Linked DNA regions of Macaca mulatta. The protein of the gene in region 4 interacts with the protein of the main gene of each other region in a biochemical or structural test. Links are inferred from orthologs where the notes say so. Each region holds a gene or a part of one and is shown on either strand. Other genes may lie near its edges. The genes, in order: JUNB, WBP2, NFE2, ITCH, UBE2G1, MLANA and NDFIP1.

Region 1 (3,744 bases), on a different chromosome or scaffold from region 4:
ACCGCGGGCCCTCTGGACCCAGGCCTGGGGCTTTCCGTGCCCGGGCAGCCGCCTGCCCGGGAAAATCCCGGCCCCCTTCCCGGCGCTGCGGCCCTGCCCGGCAGAGCGGGGGAGGGGATTCCCGGAATCTGCCCAGAGACCGCGGTCGCGTCACTGGGCAGAATCGGTCCTTGTATGGGCAACGCTTCCGCTGCGTCAGCGGGGAAAGCCCCGGCGCGCACTGCTGGGCGGGGCCGCGCCTGCGCGCTCCGCGTCTCGCCCCCAGCGCCCTGCCTTCAGCTACTGTGTCCCTGGACTGCGTCCCGCGCCCCAACCATCCAACCCTGGAGATTCGGGGACGCGGGAAGGGTGGGACTCCCGGGTTGGGACCACAAGATGCCTGCGCAGAGCCGACGAGGGGGACACATACAGGACCGAGCCACCAACAGCACTGAGCTGGGGGCACACCAGTGCTTTTTTTTCCCTCCGCCCTCCCAGCTTGGAAAAAAAGACAACAGAAATTAATAAAGAACAAATTTTTTTTTTTTTACTTAAATAGATTCAATAAAAAGAACAAACACACACACAAACACAAACACGTCTTAAAATAAACTCTTTAGAGACTAAGTGCGTGTTTCTTTTCCACAGTACGTTGCAGAGAGGGGAGGGCAGGGGGCGGGGGTCCCCTTCCCAATGTCCCCGCGGGCTTGAGTACCGGGCGGCGGGGCCAGCTCCGCCGCGATCGCCCCCTCCTCCCCTCCCTGTTAAATACACAAATATATTATATTCAATATGAATCGAGTCTGTTTCCAGCAGAAAAAAAACATACAAAAAAATGTGGAAGGGGGGGCTTGTAAACGTCGAGGTGGAAGGACTGGGCGCAGGGCGGGAGTTCAGTGTGGTTTGCGGCGCCCCCAGGTCCCAGGATGGGTGCCCACCGCCTGCTCCCTGGACCCCAGTGGGAGACGTGCGCCCAGCCGTCCAAGCGAGGGGGTGTCCGTAAGGGGACAGGGGGCGCTCAGAAGGCGTGTCCCTTGACCCCAAGCAGCAGCTGACAGCCGTTGCTGACGTGGGTCATGACCTTCTGTTTGAGCTGGGCCACCTGCTCCCGGAGGAGGCCGGCGGTACTCGACAGCCCCGCGTTCTCGGCCTTGAGCGTCTTCACCTTGTCCTCCAGGCGCGCGATGCGCTCCAGCTTCCGCTTCCGGCACTTGGTGGCCGCCAGCCGGTTCCGCAGCCGCTTGCGCTCCACTTTGATGCGCTCTTGGTCTTCCATGTTGATGGGGGACACCGGCGGCGTGGCGTCCCGGCTGCGCGCCTCCGGCACGGTCTGCGGTTCTTCCTTAAAGGTGGAGGCGCTGCGGCCCAAGCCCAGCTGCGCCGGGTGGCCACCGGCGAAGGGTGGCGCGTGTGGGAGGTAGCTGATGGTGGCCGTCGGGTATGAGCTCCCGGTCCCGACGGCAGCCCCGGCGCCTCCCGAGGACGCAGAGGCTGGGGAGTAGCTGCTGAGGTTGGTGTAAACGGGAGGTGGCTCCGGGCCGGCGTAGACGCCCCCGGGCCCAGCCGGGGGCCCCCCGCTAGCGCCCAGGGACACGTTGGGGGGTGTCACGTGGTTCATCTTGTGCAGATCGTCCAGGGCTTTGACAAAGCCGTCGGCGAAGCCCTCCTGCTCCTCGGTGACGCCGCCCCCTGCGCCCCCCGCACCTCCACCGCTGCCACCCCCGCGGGGGTAAAAGTACTGTCCCGGGGGTGTAGGCGTCGTCGTGATCACGCCGTTGCTGTTGGGGACGATCAGGCGTTCCAGCTCCGAAGAGGCGAGCTTGAGAGACGCGCCGGTGTCCGAGCCCTGACCAGAAAAGTAGCTGCCGCCACCGCCGCCCTCTGGGCCGGGTCCCCGAGCCCCAGGCGCTTTGAGACTCCGGTAGGGGTCGGCCAGGTTGACCGCCAGGCTCGGTTTCAGGAGTTTGTAGTCGTGTAGAGAGAGGCCACCAGGGGCCCGGCCGTATCCCGTAGCTGTGTATGAGTCGTCGTGGTAGAAGGGCTGTTCCATTTTAGTGCACATCCGGGCGGCCCAGGCGGTCTGGGGAGGGTCCCTGCGGGGCCGCCCCGGGCCTCGCTGCAGCGAGCGGCGAGCTCTCCGCTGCGGTGGCCGGACTGGGTGCCTGGTCGCGCGTTCTCGGGGGCTGGCGCGGGCGGGGAGCAGCCAGCCGGCAGCTGTGCGCAAAAGATCTGTCAGGCTTCCCGAGCCCCCGTCGCCCTCTCCGGCGCGATAGCTTTCCTGGCGTCGTTTCCCCCAGCTCCCAGCTCCCAGCTCCCTGCTGGCTCCGAAGCTGGCCTGGCCGCTCTCAAGGTCCCAGCCGCTCAGCCTGAGCCACACGCCTTTATACCGCGCTAGTCAGCCACGGAAGTGCGCTCCGATTGGCCGTCGCCGAAGCCGGGCCCCCGCGCCCCCCTCTTCGAGCGTGGGGAAGGGGAGGAGGCGGCTCGCGTCACTGTCAGGAAGCGCGTGTCCTTGTAAACAGCGGCCACGGGCCGGGTGGCTCGGCGGGCCTGCAGGGGGAGGGGCTCAAAGGACCCCGGGGTACGCATGGAAGGAGGCCTGGGGGCCCAGGCACATGAGTGAGGGGTTTCAGGGAGGAGGATGATTTCATTGAAGTCCACTGGGACAAATACCAGGACCTGGTACGCAGCAAGTAGGTTGAGGATCTCAGGGTGTGCGAAGAAACCCCTGAGGTACCCAGAATACGAGAGGGGTAGGACAATTCATTGGGAGACCCCAAAAAGCAGGAATGAGGGTTAAGCACGGTAAATCGGGAGGGGTAAGGAGACACCTGACCCAGGAATTGACTGGGGGTCCCGAGCATAGAAGGATGCGGGGCTGGAATTTTCACAGGATGGAGGAGGGGAGAGATCAAAAGGGGTGAGTGGGCGGAGCTGCACGACCCATTAAATTGAAAGAAATGAGTAGGGTCCAGGAGCCCATGGGAAGGTCTGAGGGCTCTCCCGTAATTGGGAAGGAGGAATTAGGGGAAATCTAGGTATGCAGAAAGCGAGTAAGCGTCCTGCGGTACACTGAGGCAGGTAAAATATGCAGGGTAGAAGATGGAGACAAGTCTGCCAGAAACTGGTGACCACTGGGGTCATCTGCGAAGCCCGGATGAAGGAGAGAGTCAGAAGGGTCCGGACACATCTTCGGAGCAGAGAAGACAATAAGAGGGTACTCAGTTGACATGCGAGGAGGGGGCTTTGAGGGTCCTGCGCACCAGGACTGCTGGATCTTCCACGACTGGTGCTCCCCCTCGTGGGTAACCTCCTAGGCATCTGTATTCTCTGTCCCCCATCCTAAAACTCTCCCCTATTGACCCTGGGCTTTGCCCGACACCGTGTCGGCTCCTGGAGCCTGGACCCAGCCCGACGGCTGGGGCGCGGTCGCCCAACCCCACTCCCTTCCTTAGAAACAGGCTGGGGAAAGAGCGCCGAGGCAGGAAGTGTGGCAACAGCCCCGGGGGAAGGAGCCCGGCCCTGTCTCCGTCACTTGGATCCTACGGGACCGTGCGCCCCGCCCTGGGTCCCACCGCATCCTGCGCCTCGGAAGAGGAACCTGGGCGTGCGAGCCCCCGCGGAGGCCCGGGTGCGTGGAGCCTGCCCAGCCACGGAAGCCTCCAGCCACCATCCTCTCCCCTCAAGCAATGGTTCCGCCCGCGGCGCCTGCAGGGGACCGCGGAGGCAGGCAACATGGGACTGTTCCATTGGCCCGACGGCGGG
Region 2 (3,500 bases), on a different chromosome or scaffold from region 4:
AGGGAATGTGAGCAGGGCCTGGCAGGGCCGGGGAAGACACCTGGCTGGTCTGAAGTGGCTCATGAGGCTGAGTGTAGCAGTGGCTGCCAGACTGAGGGAGCTGGACTGCGGTGGAGGAGGTGGCCAGAGAGTCCCTTCGAGGGGAGAAGCTGAGAGTGAAACAGGAACAGGGGATGCCCCATGCTCCCAGGAGAGCCCCAGACAGTGAGTGAGGCACACTGGGCAGCGTTGTGGGCTCTGGGCTGGCATGGAAGCTGGGCGGCACCTCTCCTGAGGCCGGGGGCCCTAATGTCCCACAATGCTAGTTCCTGGTAATTGTTTATGATCAGACCTGGAGGGAGAACAAGGCGCCCCCTCCCCCAGCCCCAGTGCAGCCCCAATGGGAGGGGTAGGGTACAGAGATAAGGGTGGGAGGCAGGGAGGCAGGAGGGCCTACTGGGTCTTCTTATCTTCCGGTGGGTAGTAGGGAGGTGGTGGCGGCTGGCTCTAAAGAAGGGAGAAAGGGAAAATTCGCGTTAGAAGGTTTAAAACATGGCGCAGTCTTCCCCCTGTGGCTCCCAGCATCTGTGGCTGCGGGGCTGTACTGGCACTGCCACTGGCACTGCCACGCTCTCTCACCGTGGGCATGTAGACGTTGTGAGGGTTGCCTGGGTTGTAGTAGGCGCTGGCGGCTGCTTCTGCGGCCTTGGCTTCGGCTGTGAGAGCAAACACACCCAGTGTCAGTGACAAGTTCTCATCCCCCTGAGCTTAGCCCAGAGACCCTGGGTCCCCATGGCTCGGGGCAGCTGGTGCTGGGGGTCCAGTTCCGCCAATAACAGCAGCAGGTGAGGCTTCCTGAGCATGGGCCACGTGCTGGCATGGTCCTTTCCAGGCCCATCGCATGTCTCACCTCATCTAATCCTTGAGCCAACCCCCCAGGTGCCACCGTGACCGACCAACTGAGTGTAGATGAGAGGATGAGAGGACCGAGGCACACAGGGTGACATTCCCTGCCCAGGCCATGTGGGTAGCTAAGGGATGGGGGTGGGGCCAGAATCTAGCTCCGCACCACCAGGCCACGGCCCTGCTGGGCCCCTGGGGTAGTCCAGGGGTCATCCATCATCTGCGGCTCTCAGCAGTCTCTGGCCATTCTGAGGCTCTCTGTGCAACCTTGGGGAGGAGAGGGCTGGTCCCGAAGGGCTGCCAGCACCCAAAGGCCCTCACCTGCAGGAGTGGAGGGGACATCGGGGCCGCTGACCGGAGGTTCCATGGGCCCAGGATAGGGCGGTGGTGGGGGCTGCACGTATCCCATGGCCCCGTCCATCATGGGGGGTCCTGGATAGAACTCTGCTCGGCAAGAGAGCAACAGGGACCCGGTGAGCACCCGGCTGCGGCCCCCTCTGAGGGGGGCCTCTCCAGATCCTGTTAGTCCTGAAGCAGCTCAAGGAATGAAGCCTCCCTGGCCTGGGGGAGCCTGGATAGGCGGGCTCATGAGGGGAGGGTGGGCAGCAAAGGACACACTCACCAGGCGGGGGCGGTGGATAGGGGTAGCCAGGAGGGCAGGGGTACATTCCATTGGCGACTGGCGGGGGATAGACATAGGCCCCGCTGGGCATGTAAGAGTAGCCATAGGCTCCATTGGGGGCTTCACCTCTGGAGGCTACAAGTACAAGGGGAAAGAGAAATGAGTGTGGCCTGCCTTGGGGCGGGGAGAGGGCGGTCCCACTGCCTGCAGAGGGGAGCTATTGGGGCCCAGGAGTGTGCCCAGCAGACATGCTCTGTCCACCCCACTCCACTCTCCACCCACACTCGGGGCTGCCTTGGTCAGGGATGGGGTGATGAGAGAGGACAGGAGAGGTCAGAGCCAGGGGAAGGCAAGGGAGGTCAAGGACAAGGGTGGAGGGTGGACGGAGGCCAGGAGGGAGGCTCAGGGCTGGGGTAGGAGTGAGCTGGCGGAGGATGTCTGCTGGGCCCATCCCTCGGTCATTTTCAATGGCTGCAAAACCGCAGTTTAATGGTTGGTTTGGGGTTTGTTTTATGGGGCCATAGTAAAGTGTCCTTGAGTCCAAACAGCTTTGTCAAAATGTGATCCACCTGCTCCAGGCAGGGAAACGCAGCCTCTGAGGTACAGGACAGAGCTCACGCCAATGACAGCTTTCCTTCCCAACTCCTAGGCCTGCTCAGCCTAGTGCCCAGACACTTACCTCTTGAATGTTTAAAAAAGCAAAAAAAAAAGGAAGCAAACTCAAACCAAACCCCTACATGTTCAGTGTGTCCTCAGCCCCTAATCTTCGGAGCCTGGATACCTTGAGATGCCACCTGGAGCATCCGCTGTCCAAACTCAATGGCGCCCCCTGCCGTGAAAGTCAACTTGTAGGAAGCAGAACCTTCCCAGCCACCTGAGAGGGGAAGGACAGCGAATAAACACCACAGAAAAAGAAAACCGATGCCCCAAGAGATGGCTGTTTTCCTCTCCAGGGCTTCATCCGACGCCCGGGAGGCTTGCAGGAAGCTAGGCCTGCACTGTGATGGGGACTTCCCAGTGCCATGGTTTCCAGCCTGCTGCCTGCATAGGAGCCAGCACTGCAGCCCGGCCAGGCCCTGCTATACTCGCTTCCCCCTTTGGAACAAGGGCCTCTCCTTCCTGAAACAAGCCTGTCCTCCCACCACTGGCCCAATATGTACACAGGTGCCAAGGCCACCTTGGTGTGGTTTTAGAGCTAACATCAAGGTTTCTTTCCACCCCCAGTCAAGCACTCGGCAGCTGCACAGGCACAAGCCCACTCGACAACAACCGACCCTGAAATTCAGAGCAGACCTCTCATCCTAAGGGGGTCCAAGGACAGACTCCAGCCCTTCTAGCTTGGCTTCTGCCCAAAGAGGGACCAAGAGCGCTCAATAGCAAGGGCGGGCCTGGCTGCCTGTCAAGGGGAAGGCAAGTTCAGTGCAGAGGTCTCTGGGGCCTGCCAAAAAGCCAGCCCCAAAGCAGGGTAACTCTGGCTTCCAGAGGCAGTTGCCTCTTCCTGGCTCTCATGAAAAGGCCCCTCTCAAGAACTGATGCAGCTCCTTCCTGAGTCTAAAATTTGTATGCACTCGCCAAGGCGCACTAAGCATCCTGACTCAGTCCGCAAGCTTCTGCAGACTTCACGCTCTGAAAAGCTGACCTGAGCTGCCGTCTTTTTTTTTTTTTTTTTTTTTTTTGAGACGGAGTCTTGCTCTGTCACCCAGGCTGGAGTGCAGTGGCCGGATCTCAGCTCACTGCAAGCTCTGCCTCCCGGGTTTACGCCATTCTCCTGCCTCAGCCTCCCGAGTAGCTGGGACTACAGGCGCCCGCCACCGCGCCCGGCTAGTTTTTTGTATTTTTTAGTAGAGACGGGGTTTCACCGTGTTAGCCAGGATGGTCTCGATCTCCTGACCTCGTGATCCGCCCGCCTCGGCCTCCCAAAGTGCTGGGATTACAGGCTTGAGCCACCGCGCCCGGCCAAGCTGCCGTCTTTAATGCCAGCATTTTCCCCAGCTCT
Region 3 (4,090 bases), on a different chromosome or scaffold from region 4:
TCCAGGTCAACTCCCTGCTTCTCTCTTCTCTGACACACGCTCTCCCCACCCTATCCCGCCCTTACTCACCTGCAGCTCAGTGATGGACATGATCTCTTGCCAAGTCAGTTCCATCTCTCCTAGCTCTGAAGTGGACAGCTGTATCACCCTGTTCCTGCTCTGCTGGGGAGGACACGGGGACATCCTACTGGGCCAGAGTCTGGTCCAGGTTCCTGGAAAGCCCAGATGGCTCTGGAAACCTGTGTCAAAGGAAAAGAGGTGTTAGAGCTACACCTGCTAGGATCAGCAAGTTTGCACTACCTCCTTGGAGGGGCTCCCTCCAGCTTCCCCTGAGGGAAGGAGAGACTGCCTCCTCCCCATCCTCACTCATGCTGGACTCATCAACCAATCCCTTAAGACGGAAAATCTTTTCCTGTGGTATGATCTCCACCTCGCCAACTATGGCCACAGTCAGTTCCTTTGGTAGCACAGAAGGTCTTTACCTTTTTTCCAGGCAAAATGCCCACTCTTTCCCCTACTTTTCACTCCCCCAAACTGTTTTCCTGGCTAAGGGCAGAGTCAGATCTTCTGTTTCTCTGTTTTCCTGTATTTTGTTTTTCATTTTCTAGGGCAACATCAGGGGTCACCCTGCTTTCCTCCTCTGTCCTCAGTTTTAAGTTCTCAGCCTTTTCTTTCCAAGATGATGACAGTATATGCTTCAGGATCCCCAAGAGCATGTTGTGGAAAGAGCCAAGCAGACAGCCCCTCCCCCTCTCGAAGATATGGCCCAGGCCTGGTGGCTGATAGCAGCTCTGCCCTCTCCTCCTATCCTGGCCCTGGGCTTCCCTGCCTGGGCCAGATAAGAGGTTTATCAGCTGCAGGCGGCAGAGGCACAGAAGGAATGGGCTCTGGAGACACTGGACCTCTGTCCTGTGTCCTCACAGGGTCATTTGGGCCATACCTTAACCCACACAACCAGAAGTCTTTCCTCTTCTGAGGTAATACAACAACCTTAGTAAAGACTTAGTAAGCACTTGTTAAGAACTAAGCTTGATGTTGCAAGCTTAGTTTATAAGATTGGTTTTCACCAGGTGCAGTGGCTCAGGCCTCTAATCCCAGCACTTTGGGAGGCCAAGGCAGGCGATCACCTGAGGTCAGGAGTTCGAGACCAGCCTGGCCAACATGGTGAAACCCCGTCTCTACTAAAAATACAAAAATTAGCTGGGTGTGATGGGGTGGTACATGTCTGTAGTCCCAGCTACTCAGGAGGCTAAGGCAGGAGAATCACTTGAATCCAGGAGGTGGAGGTTGCAGTGAGCTGAGATCGCGCCATTGCACTCCAGCCTGGGTGACAGAGTTAGATTCTGTCTCAAAAAAAAAAAAAAGACTGGTTTTCACAAAGATTCTAAAGGTACATCAGAAGCTGAGACTGAAACTGATAAATAATAGCAGGATGAGGTCTAGAACCTGACTCCACTTGACTATAATTTCTTCTAGGCATCTTCCCCTCCTGCCCCTGTATCTTCATACTCCAAACCTCTATTGGAAATCTACATTCATCAGTTCTTTCTGTGGAGTGTCAGTCTCTCTTTCTCCTTCTGGGCAATGTCCCTCTAGAGCCTTGAATACACACTGCCATCCAGTCCCTTTTCTTTTGACCTGGGTTCTAGTTGCAGCTCTGCCACAAAGCAGCAGTGTGATGTTGAGCAAGCCATCTCACTTCTCTGGGCCTCTGTTTCCTCATTTGTAAAACCAGGGAGTTGGACAAATTGACCTTGGAGGTCCCTTTCTGCTTGGATAGCTTAGAATTCTCAGCAAACCCTCACCCGTGTCCTTATCTTCTCTCTGTCAGTCCCTCTCCTCATGCTACCTCCCTATTCCCTGACACCCACCTTCCTTGCATCTGTTTTCCCTGCCGTCAGCAAGAGACTCCAAGTAGATTTGGCAAGGTCTTCCTGATCTCTACGGTCACACATTGTGTGTGTGTGCACGCACACAGACGTACCCTGCCATATTAGTAAAGGGAAGCAGGCTAGGATGAAGGAAACGTGGGAGAGGGGAAGCACTTTGGGAGGCCGAGGTGGGAGCATCGCTTGAGCCCAGGAGTTTGAGATCAGCCTGAGAAATATGGTAAAAACCCATCTCCACTAAAAATGCAGAAATTAGCTAGGCATAGTGGCACACGTCTGTGGTCCAAGCTACTCAGGAGGCTGAGGTGGGAGGATCACTCGAACCTGAAAAGTCAAGGCTGCAGTGAGCCATGATTGTGCCACCACACTCGAGCCTGGGTGACAGAGCAAGACCGTCTCAAAAAAAAAAAAAAAAAAAAAAAAAAAAAAAGGCCAGGTGCGGTGGCTCACACCTCTAATCCTAGCACTTTGGGAGGCCGAGGCAGGTGGATCACCTGAGGTCAGGAGTTTGAGACAAGCCTGGCCAACATGGTGAAACCCCTGTCTCTCCTAAAAATACAAATATTGGTCAGGCATGTTGGTGGGCATCTGTAATCCCAGTTACTTGGGAGGCTGAGACAAGGAGAATTGCTGGAACACGGGAGGTGGAGGTTGCAGTGAGCTGAGATCGTACCACTGCACTCCAGCCTGGGCGACAGAGCGAGACTCTGTCTCAAAAAAAAAGAAAAGAAAAAGAAGGACAGAGGATAGGATTGTATGATCTCAAATTGCATGACCTTAGATCACTCACCACAAGGATGGCCCAGCACAGCAATTTAATTTGGAATCTTCTCTTCAACTTACGACAAAATTAGTAGGAACTACAAATGATGCTTTTAAAAGAGTATCTCCCCTAGCTCTTGCCTCCATCCCCTTGTTTTACTGCCATCCCCAGAGATGGGAGTTGGTGTAGGCAACTCTGCCAGTGGGCAGAGTGGGTGGGGTGTTTATGTCTGTCCAGGATGCCATTTCAACACCGGAACCCCACCCTCCTCCACCCAGGTTCTGGCGGAAATTGCCCAAAGGCAAAGTGAATGGAGAAGGGGTTTAGGGGGCAGAGACAATGACTCTTGCTTCATAGTTCTTCACTCACCCCACCCCACCCCGTATTTGTCTCTCCTTTTATCTTCTTGGATCTGACTCTAAGGTGCAGTACAAAGGTCCTGCCCTAGGAGGCAGGAGACCTAGGTTCTCTGGCACTTGAGATACATGACCTTGCCAGGCGCGGTGGCTCACGCCTGTAATCCCAGTACTTTGGGAGGAGGTGGGAGGATTACCTGAGGTAGGGAGTTCAAGACCAGCCTGACCAACATGGATAAACCCTGTCTCTACTAAAAATACAAAATTAGCTGGGCATGGTGGTATATGCCTGTAATCCCAGCTACTTGGGAGGCTGAGGCAGGAGAATCGCTTGAACCAGGGAGGCAAGGTTGCGGTGAGCCGATATCATGCCATTGCACTCCAGCCTGGCCAACAAGAGTGAAACACTGAAACAAACAAACAAACAAACAAACAAACAAACAAAAGGATACATGACCTTGGGCAAATTGCTTCTCATTCAGTCCCTTCCCTAAATGGAGACAGGACTAGAAACCAATTGCTGTGAAAGGCTGTAGGTTGCATCTAGCTCAGGGAGTCACAAACTTCATTGTGTGCCACATTCACCTGGGCTACATGTAAAAACACAGATTCCTGAAAGCCACTTCAAATCTACTGAATTTAATTCATAGACCCAGGAATCAGCATTTTAAAGTGCCTCAGTGGCCGGGTGTGGTGGCTCATGCCTGTAATCTTAGCATTTTGGGAGGCCAAGGTGGGTGGATCACCTGAGGTCAGGAATTTGAGACTAGCCTGGCCAACATGGCAAAATCCCATCTCTACTAAAAATACAAAAATTATCCAGGTCTGGTGGTGCACACCTGTAATCCTAGCTATTCAGGAGGCTGAAGCATGAGAATTGCTTAAACCCGGGAGGTAGAAGTTACGATGAGCTGAGATCATGCCACTACACTCCAGCCTGGGCAACAGAGTAAGACTCTGTCTCAAAAAAAAAAAAAAAAAAGGGCGGGGGGGAGCAAGGAGAGGCAGGAGTTTGGAGGGGAGAGAGTTGAGGAGAACCTCTGGATCCATTCCAACCAGCTTTTGGGTGCAGTAGCAAGTTT
Region 4 (4,150 bases):
AAAAACTTGTTCACAAATGTTTATAGCATTTTTCATAATATCCAAAAAGTAGAAACAACCCAAACATCCCTCAACTGAAGAATGGATTTTTAAAATTTGGTATACTCATACAATAAAATATTATTTAGCAAAAAAAGGAATTAAGTAATGCTACATGCTACAACAAGGATGAACCTTGAAAACAGTCTGCTCAAAGAAGACACAAAAGGCCACACATTGTACAATTCCATTTATATGCAAGATCCAGAATAGGGAAATCTAGAGACAGAAAGATCAGGAGTTGCCTGGGTTTGTGGGTGGATGGGTTAAATGGAGAGTGACTGCTAATGAGTACAGGGCTTCTTTCTGGAAGGACAAAAAAATATATATATATATTTTTGAGACGGAGTCTCGCTCTGTCGTCCAGGCTGGAGTGCAGTGGCCGGATCTCAGCTCACTGCAAGCTCTGCTTCCTGGGTTTATGCCATTCTCCTGCCTCAGCCTCCCAAGTAGCTGGGACTACAGGCGCCTGCCAGCTCGCCCGGCTAGTTTTTTTTTTTTTTTTTTTTTTTGTATTTTTTAGTAGAGACGGGGTTTCACCGGGTTAGCCAGGATGGTCTCGATCTCCTGACCTCGTGATCCGCCCGTCTCAGCCTCCCAAAGTGCTGGGATTACAGGCTTGAGCCACCGCACCCGGCCAAAAATATTTTAAAGTTGATTGTGGTGATGGTTGCACAACTCTGTGAATGTACTTTTGGGGTTCAGAAACTGATATCCCAAAATATGGTGCTTTGACTCGTTGAACTAAAGGAGTCTCTCAAGATCTCTCTGACCCCTGCAGCATCCCTCCCTCAATCTTCTTTCTCTCAAAGTACAGCATGAAGTTGTTTTCTGAAGTTCTCTTATCTGCCTAAGTCCAGATCCACCAAAGAAGGAAACAATTACAATTACCTTTGTTCCTTCCTTGAGTTTTCAATAACTAAACTTATATAGCAGGAATATAAAGACTGAAGTCTTTTTTTTTTTTTTGAGATGGAATCTCGCTCTGTCGCCCAGGCTGGAGTGCAATGGCATGATCTCGACTCACTGCAACCTCTGCCTCCTAGGTTCAAGCGATTCTCCTGTCTCAGCCTCCCAAGTAGCTGGGATTACAGGTATGCACCACCACGTGCAGCTAATTTTTTTTATGTTTAACAGAGACGGGGTTTCACCATGTTGGCCAGGCTGGTCTCAAACTCCTGACCTCAGGTGATCCGCCCACCTGGATCTCCCAAAGTACTGGGATTACAGGCGTGTAATCCCAATAAATGGGTAACCTGTAGGGGATATGAATTATATCTCAATAAAGCTGTTAATACAATACAAAACAAACAAAATAAGCAACTACCCAGGTGCCCATGTTCAAGGAAAAAAAACTGTAAAATATCCAAGAATATTCTACAATAAAAATTACTATCTGTATGTCTTCATTCATTCATTCAGCAAATATTAATTGAGCACCTGACATGTAACAGCCATTAAATATTTTGTTCTCTTAAGATTTTTTTTTTTTGAGAGTCTCACCCTATCACCCAGGCTGGGGTGCAGTGGCGCAATCTCGGTTCATTGCAACCTCCACTTCCCAAGGTCAAGCGATTCTCATGCCTCAGCCTCCGAAGTAGCTGGGACAGCAGGCGTGCACCACTACGCCCAACTAATTTTGTATTCTCCATGTTGGCCTGGCTGATGTCAAACTCCTGGCCTCAAGCGACCCGCCCACCTCAGCCTCCCAAAGTGCTGGGATTACAGTCATGGGCCACCATGCCCGGCCCTCTCAGGATTATTTTTTAATCACATGGGGAAAAATAAAGCTGCCGATGTTTCTAAAACTTACCAGTGATCTGAAGCTGTGATTTCATGGTGAGGCTACCCATTGAACCAAGTTGTGATCCACTGTCAGACATACCACCAATAGGTTGGAAAACCTGAACATGGCAAAGGAGGCAGTGTAAACATCAAAAATTCCCATTAAAAACGTACGTAAATAGTGCTAACCTGGCTATTACTGAAGACAGTGTAACAAAGGCCTTTACATTGCTAAACACAATTTTCAATTCTAGTCTTTATCCTACCTAACTTATTGGCAAAATCTGACAATGCTTGTTAGTACTACAGGGGCCAAGACAAGACTTCCCCTTTGCGCCCAGTGAAGGTTCACTGAAAATCATCTGACAAAAGGCAGGCAGATAAATTTGAGAAAAGGCATACATAACTATTAGCATGCATGAGTCGGGGTGGGGTGGATCACAAAATGATCACCCCATCAAGCAATGGGGTACAGATGATTATAACCTGGAGGATATTACCTATCCAGATAGCTTTAAATATCATCTATATAACATGTCCCAAGCAACTTTATTTACTTATTTATTTTTTGGGAAAAACTCTCACTCTGTCACCCAAGCTGGGGTGTTCTGGAGCGCCTCCCGGGCTGGGGGGTCCTTCTGCTTCAGCCTCCTGAGTTGCTGGGACCACTGGTGCACACCACCACTCCCGACCCAGGAGGTAAGTCCGCAGTGAGCTGTGATCACACCACTGTACTCCAGCCTGGGCAACAGAGGAAGACCCTACCTCAAAAAAGAAGAAATAAGATACAATAAAAAATAAAATTAAACTAAATATACTTGGCACTTACTGTTTGCCAGGTACTTTTGTAAGAAGTACACAAATACAATAAGGCAAACAAAATGCCTTGAAACTGTAAACGCTGTCTTGAGTTTTTATGCAAATTTAGGTTTCCGTTTAAAAATTTAAATATAAAACAATTATGATGGCTTCTCATTTCTGCAAAAATGAAATGGAACAATAATTAATTCCTACTGAGATGAACCCTATAAAATCCAACCTACCTCATTCTGTGCTTACATACAAAAATGCTCGAAGCTAAAATTTGGTCTCAACCATAGGGACTAGCTCATTTTCTTGGCATAATACATATATTTTTTCCTTTACCTTGTTTATTTAAATTGCACTATTTCAAATGAGATGTTTTATAAACAAAATCTGCTAAAAGAACCCTTTTATTTTAAAAATGAAAGGTAAACAGCATAAAGTCATTAGTAGTCATCCATAATATATTAAGAAATGAGATGTAACCTAAAAGCCTTTTAACACCATATTGCACAAGATATTATTCTGATTCAAATGGCTTGTTATGAGAAGGGTCCTCAAAGACATTATAACACATTATGTACACGTATTACTCCCTCCTCAATATCCAAAAGCCTGTTTGCCATAGAACGACAATATCAAAAAAAGTAAATTAAGGGGCAGTGAGAAAAGTCCAATATCTAGGTGCTGATATTCTGCATGATAAAGGTACTCATCTCCATCAACAGTCACTCATCTCCACTAACGATTTATTGCAAGAAAATGCCCTTTCTAATAGTACAGTATAAACTATTCTAAATATAAATTTACATTAATTACAAAGTCGCAAAAAATTTTAGATCTCTACAAAAATGAAGTATATTTTAAAAACTAAAATTAACTTCATGTAGAAAAGATTAATGAAAGCATAGCCTGCAAATATTTTTAAGAACAATGACTCTCCAGATAATTACAGAGAATCATTATGGTAGAATTGTGAGGTGCTCTGCCAAAAACATGCTAGTAATTTCAATAATTTATGTACATATACATACTAGTTTTACATAACTAAAATTCACCAAGCATTTTAAATTCTTGAAAAGAATAAAAATTGCTATTTGCATAATATCAAAAAATTAGAAGCAACCTATATTATCAATTGGCATATGTTAAATAAATCACATATTCATACCACAGAACAGATTACTATGCAGGTATCAAAATAAGTAACTTATTAATGACTGAAATTGAAAGATCCCAAGAACATCTTTAAAGTTGCAGAATAGCATACATGAGTTGGGGTGGGGTGGATCACAAAATGATCACCCCATCAGTATGTACAGTATGATATTATTTTTGCAAACTAAAACACTATATACTCCTATGAGTACAAATACTTATAAATAAACACAGAAAAAGTATACATTCCATTGAGGAGGAGGGCACCTGTGTACTCAAGTAGGTGGTCACAGGGAACTGCAGTTTTGTATGTATTGTTTGAAGTTCTAGAAGTGAAACATGTATCATTGTTGACTTGTACAAT
Region 5 (4,267 bases), on a different chromosome or scaffold from region 4:
AATTCACCACATAAAACTTATTCTGATTAAAGAATTGGGGAAATCTTAATTCCCTCCTCCAAACAAAAAAGTATACAGAAAAGGTGTTTATAAATGTCAAGATGCAGACGGGCGCGGTGCTCACGCCTGTAATCCCAACACTTTGGGAGGCCCAGGCGGGCGATCCCCAGGTCAGGAGTTGGAGATCAGCCTGGCCAGCATGGTAAAAACCCGCCTCTACCAAAAATACAAAAAATTAGCCGGGCGTGGTGGTGCGCGCCTGTAATCCCAGCTACTCGGGAGGCTGAGGCAGGAGAATCACTTGAACCCAGGAGGCGGAGGTTGCAGTGAGCCGAGATGACGCAACTGCACTCCAGCCTAGGTGATAGAGTGAGACTCTGCCTCAAAATTTAAAAAAAGATGCAATAAAGTTCTTTTTTTTTTTTGAGACAGAGTCTCGCTCTGTCGCCCAGGCTGGAGTGCAGTGGCGCGATCTCGGCTCACTGCAAACTCCACCTCCGGGGTTCACGCCATTCTCCTGCCTCAGCCTCCCCAGTAGCTGGGACTACAGGCGCCCGCCACCACACCCGGCTAATTTTTTGTATTTTTAGTAGAGACGGGGTTTCACTATGTTAGCCAGGATGATCGCAATCTCCTGACCTCGTGATCCGCCCGCCTCGGCCTCCCAAAGTGCTGTGATTACAGGCATGAGCCACCGCGCCCGGCCCTTCTTTTTTTTTTTTTTTTTTTTGAAGAGTCTCGCTCTGTTGCCCAGGCTGGAATGCAATGGGGCGATCTCAACTCACTGCAGCGATGCCTCCCGGGTTCAAGCAATTCTCCTGCCTCAGCCTCCCGAGCAGCTGGGATTACAGGCGCCCTCCACCACGCCCGAATAATTTTTTGTATTTTTAGTAGTGACGGGTGTTTCACCACATTGGCCAGGCTGGCCTTGAACTCCTGTCTTCAGGTGATCTGCCCGCCTCAGCTTCCCGAAGTGCTGAGATTACAAGCGTGAGCCACCGCGCCCGGCCTCAGTGCTTTTCCAGTACATAATTTTGATGAGTATCCTGTAGTATCATTAGAACTTCTCCATTCACTGGAAGCGAACTCCCCCGAGCATCTAGAACTTTAATACTTGTCCAAACCTGCTTGCTCATGGTCTAATAATAAACCCAATTATACTATCTGTAAGAACCCCTGACAATCTTTTCCTTAAGAAGCTATAAAGGTGATTTAACGAACACCTCAAACTCTTAGTAAATGTATTTCAAAGACAGATTTCATCACTCCAGTCTTTGGCTTCTGCTGAGGGCCGGAGGCTACTGGTTGTAGAGTGGGTAGGGGGAAGATCGCTTGAACTGAGAATGACACACGCCGGGCGTTGTACAGCAGGGGTAACTGCTGGTTCATTTCTCTTTAAATCTGGCAGCACGTGGGGCTGCATTGTGAAGCCACCAACCCGCCTCCCCCCTTCCACTCCGCACACGGACGTCTCCAGTGCGCATGCTCTGCGCACACAGTCCTAGCAGAGTAGGAGCCAACCCCCTAAAAAGTCAACCTGGAAGCCGCAAACGGCCGGAGGCCGGGACAATGGGGGAGGGGGGCCGCAGGCTCCTCGGAGAGGCCGACCCGGCCGCCGCCCCGGGCCAGAGTCTGCGGGCGCAGCTCCGGGGTTTGCGGGCCTGCGCAGGAGCAGGAATCGCGGCGAGCACAAAGCCCGGAGCCGGCCAGCGAGCGGCTCTCCCGCGGCCCGCTCCTACCCTCCCCCAGCCGGGCGGCGCAGCCGGAGCCCGTGCCAGGCGGAGGCAGGCGAGGCGGCGTTCCGCACCCCGCCAGGGTCTCCGGCACCCGCGCGCCCGCGTGGAGGCCGCCGAGGCCGGCGCTTTTGTTGTCGGCCCCAACTCCGCGGACCCAGCGCCGCCCGGGGAGAAGTTTTGTGCGCCTCACCTATCCCGCCAGGGCAGGTCCCTTCCGCCCGCCCTCGCCCCCTGCGGCTCAGACACCGAGCCTGGGACTCGCAGCCACGCTGGGCCCGGACGCTCCAGCCGGCCCCGAAGGTCCGGCGACCCCGGCAGCACCTGAGCCCGGGACCCGCCCCTCCAGGCTGGCGGCCCCGGCCTGGGGATCCGCACACAGCCCCTCCCCCGCAACGTCCTACAGAACGGTGGGGGAGGGGGGCCGCCTCCTCTCCGATCCCCCGGGCGCCAGGCCCGGTCCCCGGCCCGGAGCTGGGTCGCGTCCCCGCCCCCAATGCCCTCCGAGAGCCAGGCGAGAACGGCTGGGCCCGGCCGGGACCGGAGCCTCGAGGTACCCACCCTCGCAGGCCCGGACCCCTTCGGCCGTGCGGCCGCTGGCTCGGGAGGAGGAGAAGAGGGACCGAGCAGCGGCTGTCTGCGATCGCGGCCGAGCCCGGCGGCCCGCCGCCCGCCTGCTCACCTGCCAGCTGTCTTCGCAGTAGCAGTGCCGACTGCAGCTCCGTCATCCTCCCCGCCGAGGGCCCGGGCTGGCGCCGGGGCTTCCGAAGGGCTGGGGACAGGCTCTGGGGGCGGCTGGAGCGGGGTGTGCCGAGGAACCCGGGCCCCGCGACCGGAGCGCCGGAGCCGAGGGAGGCCGGGCTGAGGCGGCGGGAGCGGCGCCTCGCTGCCGGTGCGAGTCCGCTCGCTTCAGCTCTTTTCACAGCGACTCACGCCCGGAAGGGGAGGGTGCCCGGGCTGCCGCGGCGCGCACTGGGACTTCGCTCGCCCGCTTCCCTCCTTCAACCCGCCCGTCGGCCCCACCGGTGCCTTCCCCCGCCACTGCCTCACTGCGCGCAGGGCCGCTCGGCGCAGGCGCGCTGAGACAGCCGACTTGGGAAGCGTCCCGCTCGCTAGCCCGACCCCTCGGCCTCCCGCCCCGCCCCCGGCGGCGGAACCCCGCCCCCTGAGCGCAGTTGTCCCTGTCGTCGCCATTTTGGGAAGGTCGACGCCCGGCTGCCAGCCCAAGTCTCCGCTGGTAGACGCCCCGCGGACGCCATGACAAAGAGGTCGCGGAGGGTCAAATACAGCATCTGGATTGAAGTAATGGATATGGGAGCGAAGGGGCCAAAAGAAGTGGTAGATGTCTTGTCGTTGGCGAGCGCCCAAAAGCCATCTAACACTGCCACATGGTGTGCGAATTAGGAATTGTTAGAAAGCCGAAGTTAGTACTGGTGTGCCCCATTTTAACCAAACACCAAAATAGAGGCAATATATGCTGATAATTCTCTTTACATGAAGAGTGCACAAAAAGATTTTTTTTTTTAGACCGAATCTCGCTTTGTCGCCCAGGCTGCAGTACAGTGGCGTGATCTCGGCTCACTGCAACCTCCGCCTCCCGGGTTCAAGTGATTCTTCTGCCTCCGCCTCCTGAGTAGCTGGAATTAGAGGCGCCCACCACCACGCCCGGCAAATTTTTCGTATTTTTAGTAGAGATGGGGTTTCACCATGTTGGCCAGGCTGGGCTCAAACTCCTGGCCTCAAGTGATCCACCGGCCTCAGCCTCCCAAAGGTGCTGGGATTACAGGCATGAGCCACCGCGACCGGCCCTATTATTATTGAACCCCCGCAACCGGCCGTGTTATTATTATTATTTATGGACAGCAATTCTTTCTGTCGCCCAGGCTGGAATGCAGTGATCATAGCTCACTGCAGCTTGGAACTCCTGGGCTTAAGGGATCCTCCCATCTGAGTCTCCTTAGTATCTGGGATTACAGGTACACACCACACAACCATGCCCTGCTACTTTTTTATTTGCTTTATAGAGATGGGGGGTTTCGGCGGGGCGGGGTGGCTCACGCCTGTAATCCCAACACTTTGAGAGGCCAAGGCGGGTAGATCACCTGAGGTCACGAGTTCGAGATCAGCCTGGCCAACATGGTGAAACCCCGTCTCTACTAAAAATACAAAAATTAGCCCGGCCTGGTGGCAGGCGCCTATACTCCCAGCTACCTGGGAGGCTGAGACAGGAGAATTGCTTGAACCCGGAGGCAGAGGTTGCAGTGAGCTGAGATGGTGCCACTGCACTCCAGCCTGGCGGACAGAGAGAGACTCCATCTCAAAAAAAAAAAAAAAAAAAAAAAGAGAGAGAGAGAGGGGTCTCTCTGTGTTGCCCAGGCTAGTCTCAAACTCCTGGGCTCAAGCAGTCCTTCCAACTCGGCCACCCAAAGTGTTAGGATTACAGATGTGAACCACTGCCTCCCTATCAAATAGACCAAAGGGACAATTTTGATGTTTCACTTTAACAAATCAAGGAGATTTCCTTCTATTCCTAC
Region 6 (3,500 bases), on a different chromosome or scaffold from region 4:
CAAGAGTAGAGAAAAATAGGGTTAAGGGGTTCCCAAAATCTCAAAAGCTTAGCTATACCTGGATTTTCCATGACAGTAAAAATCTCAAGCCCTAACAAACAAATCACTGAATGCTATTTACCGACACTATATACATTGCATCTTTACCACAGAGATCCTTGTAATTGTGTCTAAAGGCACATTGACACTACCAAATATAAAACAAGAGGATATTGTATCCAGAATAAATGTGTCAGGGCTTCATTTAATGCTCACAACAATTCTGGGAGTGTTTTTATTGTTTTCATGTTACAGAATGGGAAACCAGAGCACAGAGAGGTTAACTCGCTTGCCCATTGTCACACAACTAGTAAGTTGTTGAGGTAAGAATCAAACACAGTAATCTGGCTCCAGAGTCAGTGCTCTCAACCATTATACTGTGTTGTATATGTACTAGTGCTGTCCAATAGAAATATGGTACGTAATTTAATTTTATTTTATTAATTTATTTTTGAGATGGAGTTTCACTCTTGTTGCCCAGGCTGTAGTGCAGTGGCACTATCTCGGTTCACTGCAACCTCCACCTCCTGAGTTCAAGTGATTCTCCTGCCTCAGCCTCCAGAGTAGCTAGGATTACAGGTGTGCACCACCACGCTTGGCTAATTTTTGTATTTTTAGTAGAGACAGGATTTCACCATGTTTGCCAGGCTGGTCTTGAACTCCTGAGATCAGGTGATCCACCCACCTCGGCCTCCCAAAGTGCTGGGATTACAGGTGTGAGCCACCATGTCCGGCCATATGTAATTTTAAAATTTCTAGTAGCTACATTTAAAAAAAGAAACATGTAAAATTAATCTTAAAATGTTTTATTTAACCTAATATTATCAGAATATTTATTTCAAAATGAATCAATATAAAAATAATTAATGAACCATTTATCTTCTTTTCCACATACTAATATCTTTGAAATATGGTATGTATTATAATACATCTTATTTTAAACTCCTATAAGTGTTCAGTTGCACCACGTGACTAGTGGCTAAGCCATCAGACAGCACAGCTCTATACAATAAATAATAGGTACTTTATCCCTCCCCTCTGCATATATCTACATCCATTAAAAAGGCAAGTATGACTAAAAACATAAAAGAATATTGTATCCAGGACTAAGTTCTTCCTTTGGATCTTACATGTAGGGCTCTCATTATTGACCCTGGAAACTCTGGGTATGTGACAACACAATTTAAGAAAATCCCTGTGCTTCCCTTGTTTTTTGTTTTTATTATTATTTATTTTTTATTCTCATAAAATACACAAAAAAGTTGCCATTTTAACCATTTTTAGGTATATATAGTTCAGTGGCAACGAGTACATTCACATTGTTCTTGCTTTTTAAATGGAAATCATTGTATTCACTTGAGTTAAAAACAGCCATTCATGAAAATACCCTTATGAAGGATCTCAACCTACCACAGGTTCACAATTTTTCTCTTGAAGAGACAGTTTGCTGTCCTGATGATCAAACCCTTCTTGTGGGCATCTTCTTGTTAAGGCGCATTGAGTGCCAACATGAAGACTTTTATCCTGAAATGTAAATTGATAAAGGTGAGTGGGAAGAAGAAGTAACTGAATCCATTTTAGAAAAGAGAAGGGAAGCCAAAGTTTTAAGAATGAGTTTTAATCTAGGTTCTGCCACTTACTTGCTGTGTGCCTTCAGTCTTATCACTTTGCCTCTCTGAATTCTGAGTTTGCATCTAGGAAGATAATACCCACCTACCTCTCAAAATTGTTGTGGGAATTAACTAGAGGTAAAGCTCTAGTGCAGTGCCTGGGACCCAATAGGTGGTCAAAGAATATTTCTGAAGGGAAGGATAAGAAGACTGAATCTACAAAAGGAACACTCTTATGAAATTATCCATCAGTAGTGAAGCAGAAATAAAGACTTTGTCAAACAAAAATTGAGGGAATTCGTTGCCAGTAGACCTGCCTTGCAAGAAACATTTGAAGTTCTTTAGAGAAAAAGAAAATAACATAGGTCAGAACCTTGTATCTACATAAAGGAAGAACATCCAAGAATGAATAAGTGAAGGTAAAATAAAAACTTTTTTTTTTTTTTTGAGACAGCGTCTCACTCTGTTGCCCAGGCTGGAGTGTAATGGCGTGATCTCAGCTCACTGCAACCTCTGCCTCCTGGGTTCAAGCAATTCTCCTGCCTCAGCCTCCCAAAACTTCCTTTTTCTTTCTTTCTCTTTTTTTTTTTTTTTTTTTTTTTAGGAGACATGATCTTGCTAAGCTGCCCAGGCTGGTCTTAAACTCCTAAACTCAAGCAATCCTCCTGCCTAAGCCTCTGAGTAGCTGAGACTACAGGCATGCACCACTGTACCCAACATATTCATCTTAGTTGATTTAACAGATAATAGTTTGTTCAAAAATGAATAATAGCTACAGTGTATTTAATTGTGTATGCTTATATACACTTGAAATGAATAACAGCAATGATACAAGGGAAAGGAATGTTAACAGAAAGAAAAAAACTGCAAAATATTTTAAAGAGGTTTATTCTGTGCCAATATGAATGACCATGGCCAGGAGAACAGTCTCAAGAGGTCCTGAGAAAGTGTGCCTGAGGTGGTTGGGTTATGATTTGGTTTTATACATTTCAGGAAGGCAGGAATTGTAGGTAAAAATCATAAATCCATACACAGAAGGTATATTTTGGGTCAGCCTGAAAAGGCAGGACATCTCAAAGCAGAGGCTTACAAGTCACAGGTGAGTTTTAGGGATTCTTTAGTTGGCAGTTGGTTGAAAGTTCAGCTCTGTCTTAAGACTTGAAGTCAGTATAAAGGAATGCTTAAGATAAGGGAGTCTGCAGTCTGTCACGTGATGCTATACCAGAGTCAATTTGGAAAGTAAACCACATTATACAGGGTTAATTTTTTTAAAAAACAACATTTTATGGTTTGAAGGGCGTGATTTAACCCTTTCCTTGCATTGTCTTGTTCCTAATTTGATATTGCCACAAAGAGTTAATTCTGTCAGTCCTATAATCTCTATTTTAAAATTAATGCTAGTCAGTTGTAACTAAAACTCTAAAAGGGAGGGTGTATAATGAGGCATCTCTCATCTCCCTTCCCATCATGGCCAAGACTCAGTTTTTCAGGTTTCCCTGGGGTCCCCTTGGCCAAGAGGGGGTCCATTCAGTTGGTTGGAGGATGTAGGTTTTGTTTTTAGTTTACAGGAGGAAGGAATTAGGATTATTTTATTTTAAGATGCTCATAATGCCTATGAAATGGTATAGTGTTATTTGAAAGTGGGCTTGAATTAGTTGTAAATGTTTGTTGCAAACTCTAGGGAAACCACTGAAAAAAAGTAAAAAAGAAGTGTAAGGCGGGGCATGATGGCTCATGCCTATAATCCCAGCACTTTGGGAGGCCGAGACGGGCGGATCACGAGGTCAGGAGATTGAGACCATCCTGGCTAACACAGTGAAACCCCGTCTCTATTAAAAATATAAATAATTA
Region 7 (3,500 bases), on a different chromosome or scaffold from region 4:
CCTCAGCCTCCTGAGTAGCTGATATCATTGCCTTCTTTCTAAGGAGGCCTGACTTTGTTCCTACTCCTCCAGCCTTGTCTTGACTTTGGAAGCTTTATCATCTATACCAGGGTAATCCCCTTCCTTTGCTGACAACTGGTTTAGGAATGGGCACAGGATGCCATTCTGACCAATGGAAGTTGAGGGCTTCTGAGAAGCTTTCCTGGCTCTTAGAGAAAAAACAGTTCTTTCTAAAGGTGGTAGAAAAAAATTTTTTTAAATAGTTCTTTTTCTTCTCTTGAGCACTGCTGTGTTTCAATGTAATACTGATACATGAAACTGCCATCTTTTAACCCTGAGGGCATGGGGGGATCTGTGCCAATATGCTGATAGGTCAGCTGACCTTGATGATGTCCAATAGCCACTGACTTAACTAACCTCCTTGTCAGGGACTTGTTTTCAGGGGAAATAAACTTTCCCCATTTAAAATAACAATTAAAAATTTTTTTCTAGGCCATTTTGAGCTAGGTTTTTGTTACTCACAGTCAAAAGCATCCTAACTGATACAAGTTAATTCATTTGATTAATTGTTTTTTTTTTGAGACGGAGTCTTACTCTGTCACCCAGACTGGAGTGCAGTGGCACAATCTCGGCTCACTGCAAGCTCCCCCTCCTGGGTTCACGCCATTCTCCTTCCTCAGCCTCACGAGCACCTGGGACTACAGGCCCCCGCCACCACGTCCCGCTATTTTTTTTGTATTTTTTTAGTAGAGACAGGGTTTCACCGTGTTAGCCAGGATGGTCTCGATCTCCTGACCTTGTGATCTGTACGCCTCAGCCTCCCAAAGTGCTGGGATTACAGGCGTGAGCCACCGCGCGCAGCCCATTTAATCCACTTTGTAAATGCAGTTGAAAATTTAGTTACAAAAAAAAAAAAAAGACTGGAATTAATTTTATTTCTCTTTTCCTTGGAGGCTTTGGTGTCCAAGAGTTTAATGTAGTTTGAAAATTAAAATATAGCATTTTATTTGTTAATAAAGTAACAATTAAGATTTAGGGAAGGAATGAAAACCTCTTTAGGGCTTGAGTTCTTAACCTAAAGTCCATTATTATAGATTAGTACATATTAGCTATGTGGGGGAAAAGCTTATAACTTTCATCAGATTCTCAAAGGATTCTAGAACCCTAAAAACGTTAACAAATGTTTTATAATAAATAAGGTGGCACTACTTAGAAAAACTACAGTGGTCAAGCAACACCCATTAGTTAAGTATGCCAATTTATGATGGATAAATTGTTTTTGTTTATAAGGTTGATGATAGCAATAAATGTATCTGAAATCAGGGGACACTTTAAAAGCCTAGATCTTTTACAACTTTAAATTACTTCACGCAGGCCGGGCGCGGTGGCTCAAGCCTGTAATCCCAGCACTTTGGGAGGCCGAGACGGGCGGATCACGAGGTCAGGAGATCGAGACCATCCTGGCTAACACGGTGAAACCCCGTCTCTACTAAAAAATACAAAAAACTAGCCGGGCGAGGTGGGGCGCCTGTAGTCCCAGCTACTCGGGAGGCTGAGGCAGGAGAATGGCGTAAACCTGGGAGGCGGAGCTTGCAGTGAGCTGAGATTCGGCCACTGCACTCCAGCCCGGGCGACAGAGCAAGACTCCGTCTCAAAAAAAAAAAAAAAAAAAAAAATTACTTCATGCAAATTTAACTAACTGGCAACTCTTAAGTCACTAAAGACATACATCTCTATAATTTACTTCAGAGGTAGGCTCCTAATGGAGCAATACTTGTTAAACAGTTTTGGCTCCCCAAACATTTTGGCATAAGCAATCCTGGAGGGGAGAGGGGACGAGAAGGAGAAAAGAAAAGAAGGAAGAAGAGAGAGAGCTAGATTAAAACTGTAACAGAAATGAGAGGAATGGCTGCTTTTGATGAGACATCAAAGGGGTAAATATCCTTCCTTTTATTATAAAAACAACTAATTTCAGAACATATACATTATCATATTATAAACATCAGAAACAAAGAAAGCAGATGGTGAACAATATTAATACTAGACCAGTATTCAATAGCTTTGACAACAAAACTTGTGTGCATGAACCATTTGCAAATGATTTTGGTTCAGCTTCATCATTTTTTAGACAAACTAAAAATCATTTAACACGTTGAAATAACTTTTAAAAAAGCAAATGAAAAATCAAATATTCAAAAATATTCTAATTATTGTCCCTCTGTAGAGCCCATCTTTTCTGTTGTACAACTTACCCTGACAATCAGGATCCACTTAATTAGAGAGAGACCAAATCCTGAAATGGCCCCATACCTTCCTGCAGCTGAAGTGGTCAGGCAAAAAGACAGGAAAAACCCAATCCAGTTAAAGAGGAATGCCACTGCAAAAGCAGAGGAGGGGAAAGATGTTAGACATGTCCTGTTACCCAAGAACAAGAGTGCCTTACACCTGCCTCTGTTTTAATGACTTTCCAAAGGATAAAAGCCTGTCCTCCACAACCCTCACCATACCTCCTCTAAAACAACCATTCTTCTCTGTCTTTCCCCAAAAAGCAAACAAGAAAAATTCCTCCCTATCAGGTTTTACACAATTATGTCTACTGTTAGTTACTTTCAAAAACGCCTTAACAGGCTGAGCACAGTAGCTCATACCTGTAATCCTAGCACTTTGGGAGGCCAATGTGGGAGGATCCCCTGAGCCCAGCAGTTTGAGACCAGCCTGAGCACCACAGTAAGACCCATCTCTACAAAACTGAAAGAAAAAAAATTAGCTGGGCACAGTGGTGCACAGTGGTGCACACCTGCAGTCCCAGCTACTTGGGAGGCTGAGGTGGGGGGAGCACTTGAGCCCAGGAGGTCAAGGGTACAGTGAGAAGTGACCACACCACTGCACTCCAAATTTAGTCTGGGCAACAGAGCAAGACCTTGTCTCAAAAGGAAAAAAAACAAAAAACAAAAAACAGCAAAAAACAAAAAGCAAACCTTAACAGTCTTCAAACTATATACTTACAACCTCTGCTTCCTTTTTTTTTTTTTTTTCTTGAGACCGAGTCTCACTCTGTCACCCAAGTTGGAGTGCAGTAGCATGATCTTGGCTCACTGCAACCTCTGCCTCCCAGGTTCAAGCGATTCTCCTGCCTCAGCCTCCCGAGTGGCTGGGACTACAGGTGTGCACAGCCATGCCCGGCTAATTTTTGTTTTTAGTAGAGACGGGGTTTCTCCGTGTTGGCCAGGCTGGTCTTGAACTCCTAGCCTCAGGTGATCCGCCCACCTCAGCCTTCCAAATTGCTGGGATTACAGGCATGAGCCACTGTGCCCTGGCTTTGACCTCTGCTTTTTTTTTTTTGAGACGAAGTCTCGCTCTTGTCATCCAGGCTGGAGTGCAATGGCACGATCTCAGCTCACTGCAACCTCCGCCTTCCGGATTCAATCGATTCTCCTGCCTCAGCCTCCTGAGTAGCTGGGATTACAGGCACCTGCCACCACACCCAGCTAATTTTTGTA

The links.
Region 1: the proteins of ITCH (region 4) and JUNB form a complex in vitro, tested with the Homo sapiens proteins (2 studies listed by BioGRID, with this or other methods). The link is inferred for Macaca mulatta from reciprocal best matches to the Homo sapiens genes ITCH and JUNB.
Region 2: the proteins of ITCH (region 4) and WBP2 form a complex in vitro, tested with the Homo sapiens proteins (2 studies listed by BioGRID). The link is inferred for Macaca mulatta from reciprocal best matches to the Homo sapiens genes ITCH and WBP2.
Region 3: of the proteins of ITCH (region 4) and NFE2, one has a biochemical effect on the other in vitro, tested with the Homo sapiens proteins (2 studies listed by BioGRID, with this or other methods). The link is inferred for Macaca mulatta from reciprocal best matches to the Homo sapiens genes ITCH and NFE2.
Region 5: the proteins of ITCH (region 4) and UBE2G1 form a complex in vitro, tested with the Homo sapiens proteins (2 studies listed by BioGRID). The link is inferred for Macaca mulatta from reciprocal best matches to the Homo sapiens genes ITCH and UBE2G1.
Region 6: the proteins of ITCH (region 4) and MLANA form a complex in vitro, tested with the Homo sapiens proteins (2 studies listed by BioGRID and IntAct, with this or other methods). The link is inferred for Macaca mulatta from reciprocal best matches to the Homo sapiens genes ITCH and MLANA.
Region 7: the proteins of ITCH (region 4) and NDFIP1 form a complex in vitro, tested with the Homo sapiens proteins (2 studies listed by BioGRID). The link is inferred for Macaca mulatta from reciprocal best matches to the Homo sapiens genes ITCH and NDFIP1.

The regions. Positions count from the first base shown.
Region 1 is NC_133424.1:13,346,065-13,349,808, reverse strand, and holds JUNB (transcription factor JunB), read right to left. Parts: upstream 2,343-3,744; 5' UTR 2,042-2,342; coding exon 998-2,041; 3' UTR 501-997; downstream 1-500. UniProt on the Homo sapiens protein: Transcription factor involved in regulating gene activity following the primary growth factor response. Binds to the DNA sequence 5'-TGA[GC]TCA-3'.
Region 2 is NC_133421.1:85,558,515-85,562,014, forward strand, and holds part of WBP2 (WW domain-binding protein 2), read right to left. Parts: intron 2,379-3,500; coding exon 2,286-2,378; intron 1,640-2,285; coding exon 1,505-1,639; intron 1,327-1,504; coding exon 1,204-1,326; intron 696-1,203; coding exon 619-695; intron 487-618; coding exon 433-486; 3' UTR 1-432. UniProt on the Homo sapiens protein: Acts as a transcriptional coactivator of estrogen and progesterone receptors (ESR1 and PGR) upon hormone activation. In presence of estrogen, binds to ESR1-responsive promoters. Synergizes with YAP1 to enhance PGR activity.
Region 3 is NC_133416.1:61,486,179-61,490,268, forward strand, and holds the start of NFE2 (transcription factor NF-E2 45 kDa subunit), read right to left. Parts: upstream 2,801-4,090; 5' UTR 2,680-2,800; intron 240-2,679; 5' UTR 184-239; coding exon 70-183; intron 1-69. UniProt on the Homo sapiens protein: Component of the NF-E2 complex essential for regulating erythroid and megakaryocytic maturation and differentiation. Binds to the hypersensitive site 2 (HS2) of the beta-globin control region (LCR).
Region 4 is NC_133415.1:87,186,656-87,190,805, reverse strand, and holds the start of ITCH (E3 ubiquitin-protein ligase Itchy homolog), read right to left. Parts: upstream 2,801-4,150; coding exon 2,654-2,800; intron 2,590-2,653; exon of another isoform or gene 2,566-2,589; coding exon 2,410-2,565; intron 1,944-2,409; coding exon 1,853-1,943; intron 1-1,852. UniProt on the Homo sapiens protein: Acts as an Acts as an E3 ubiquitin-protein ligase which accepts ubiquitin from an E2 ubiquitin-conjugating enzyme in the form of a thioester and then directly transfers the ubiquitin to targeted substrates.
Region 5 is NC_133421.1:5,863,291-5,867,557, forward strand, and holds the start of UBE2G1 (ubiquitin-conjugating enzyme E2 G1), read right to left. Parts: upstream 2,801-4,267; 5' UTR 2,462-2,800; coding exon 2,416-2,461; exon of another isoform or gene 1,175-2,415; intron 819-1,174; exon of another isoform or gene 710-818; intron 1-709. UniProt on the Homo sapiens protein: Accepts ubiquitin from the E1 complex and catalyzes its covalent attachment to other proteins. In vitro catalyzes 'Lys-48'-, as well as 'Lys-63'-linked polyubiquitination. May be involved in degradation of muscle-specific proteins.
Region 6 is NC_133420.1:93,446,887-93,450,386, forward strand, and holds part of MLANA (melanoma antigen recognized by T-cells 1), read right to left. Parts: intron 1,564-3,500; coding exon 1,450-1,563; intron 1-1,449. UniProt on the Homo sapiens protein: Involved in melanosome biogenesis by ensuring the stability of GPR143. Plays a vital role in the expression, stability, trafficking, and processing of melanocyte protein PMEL, which is critical to the formation of stage II melanosomes.
Region 7 is NC_133411.1:150,996,407-150,999,906, reverse strand, and holds part of NDFIP1 (NEDD4 family-interacting protein 1), read right to left. Parts: intron 2,378-3,500; coding exon 2,253-2,377; exon of another isoform or gene 2,131-2,252; intron 1-2,130. UniProt on the Homo sapiens protein: Activates HECT domain-containing E3 ubiquitin-protein ligases, including NEDD4 and ITCH, and consequently modulates the stability of their targets. As a result, controls many cellular processes.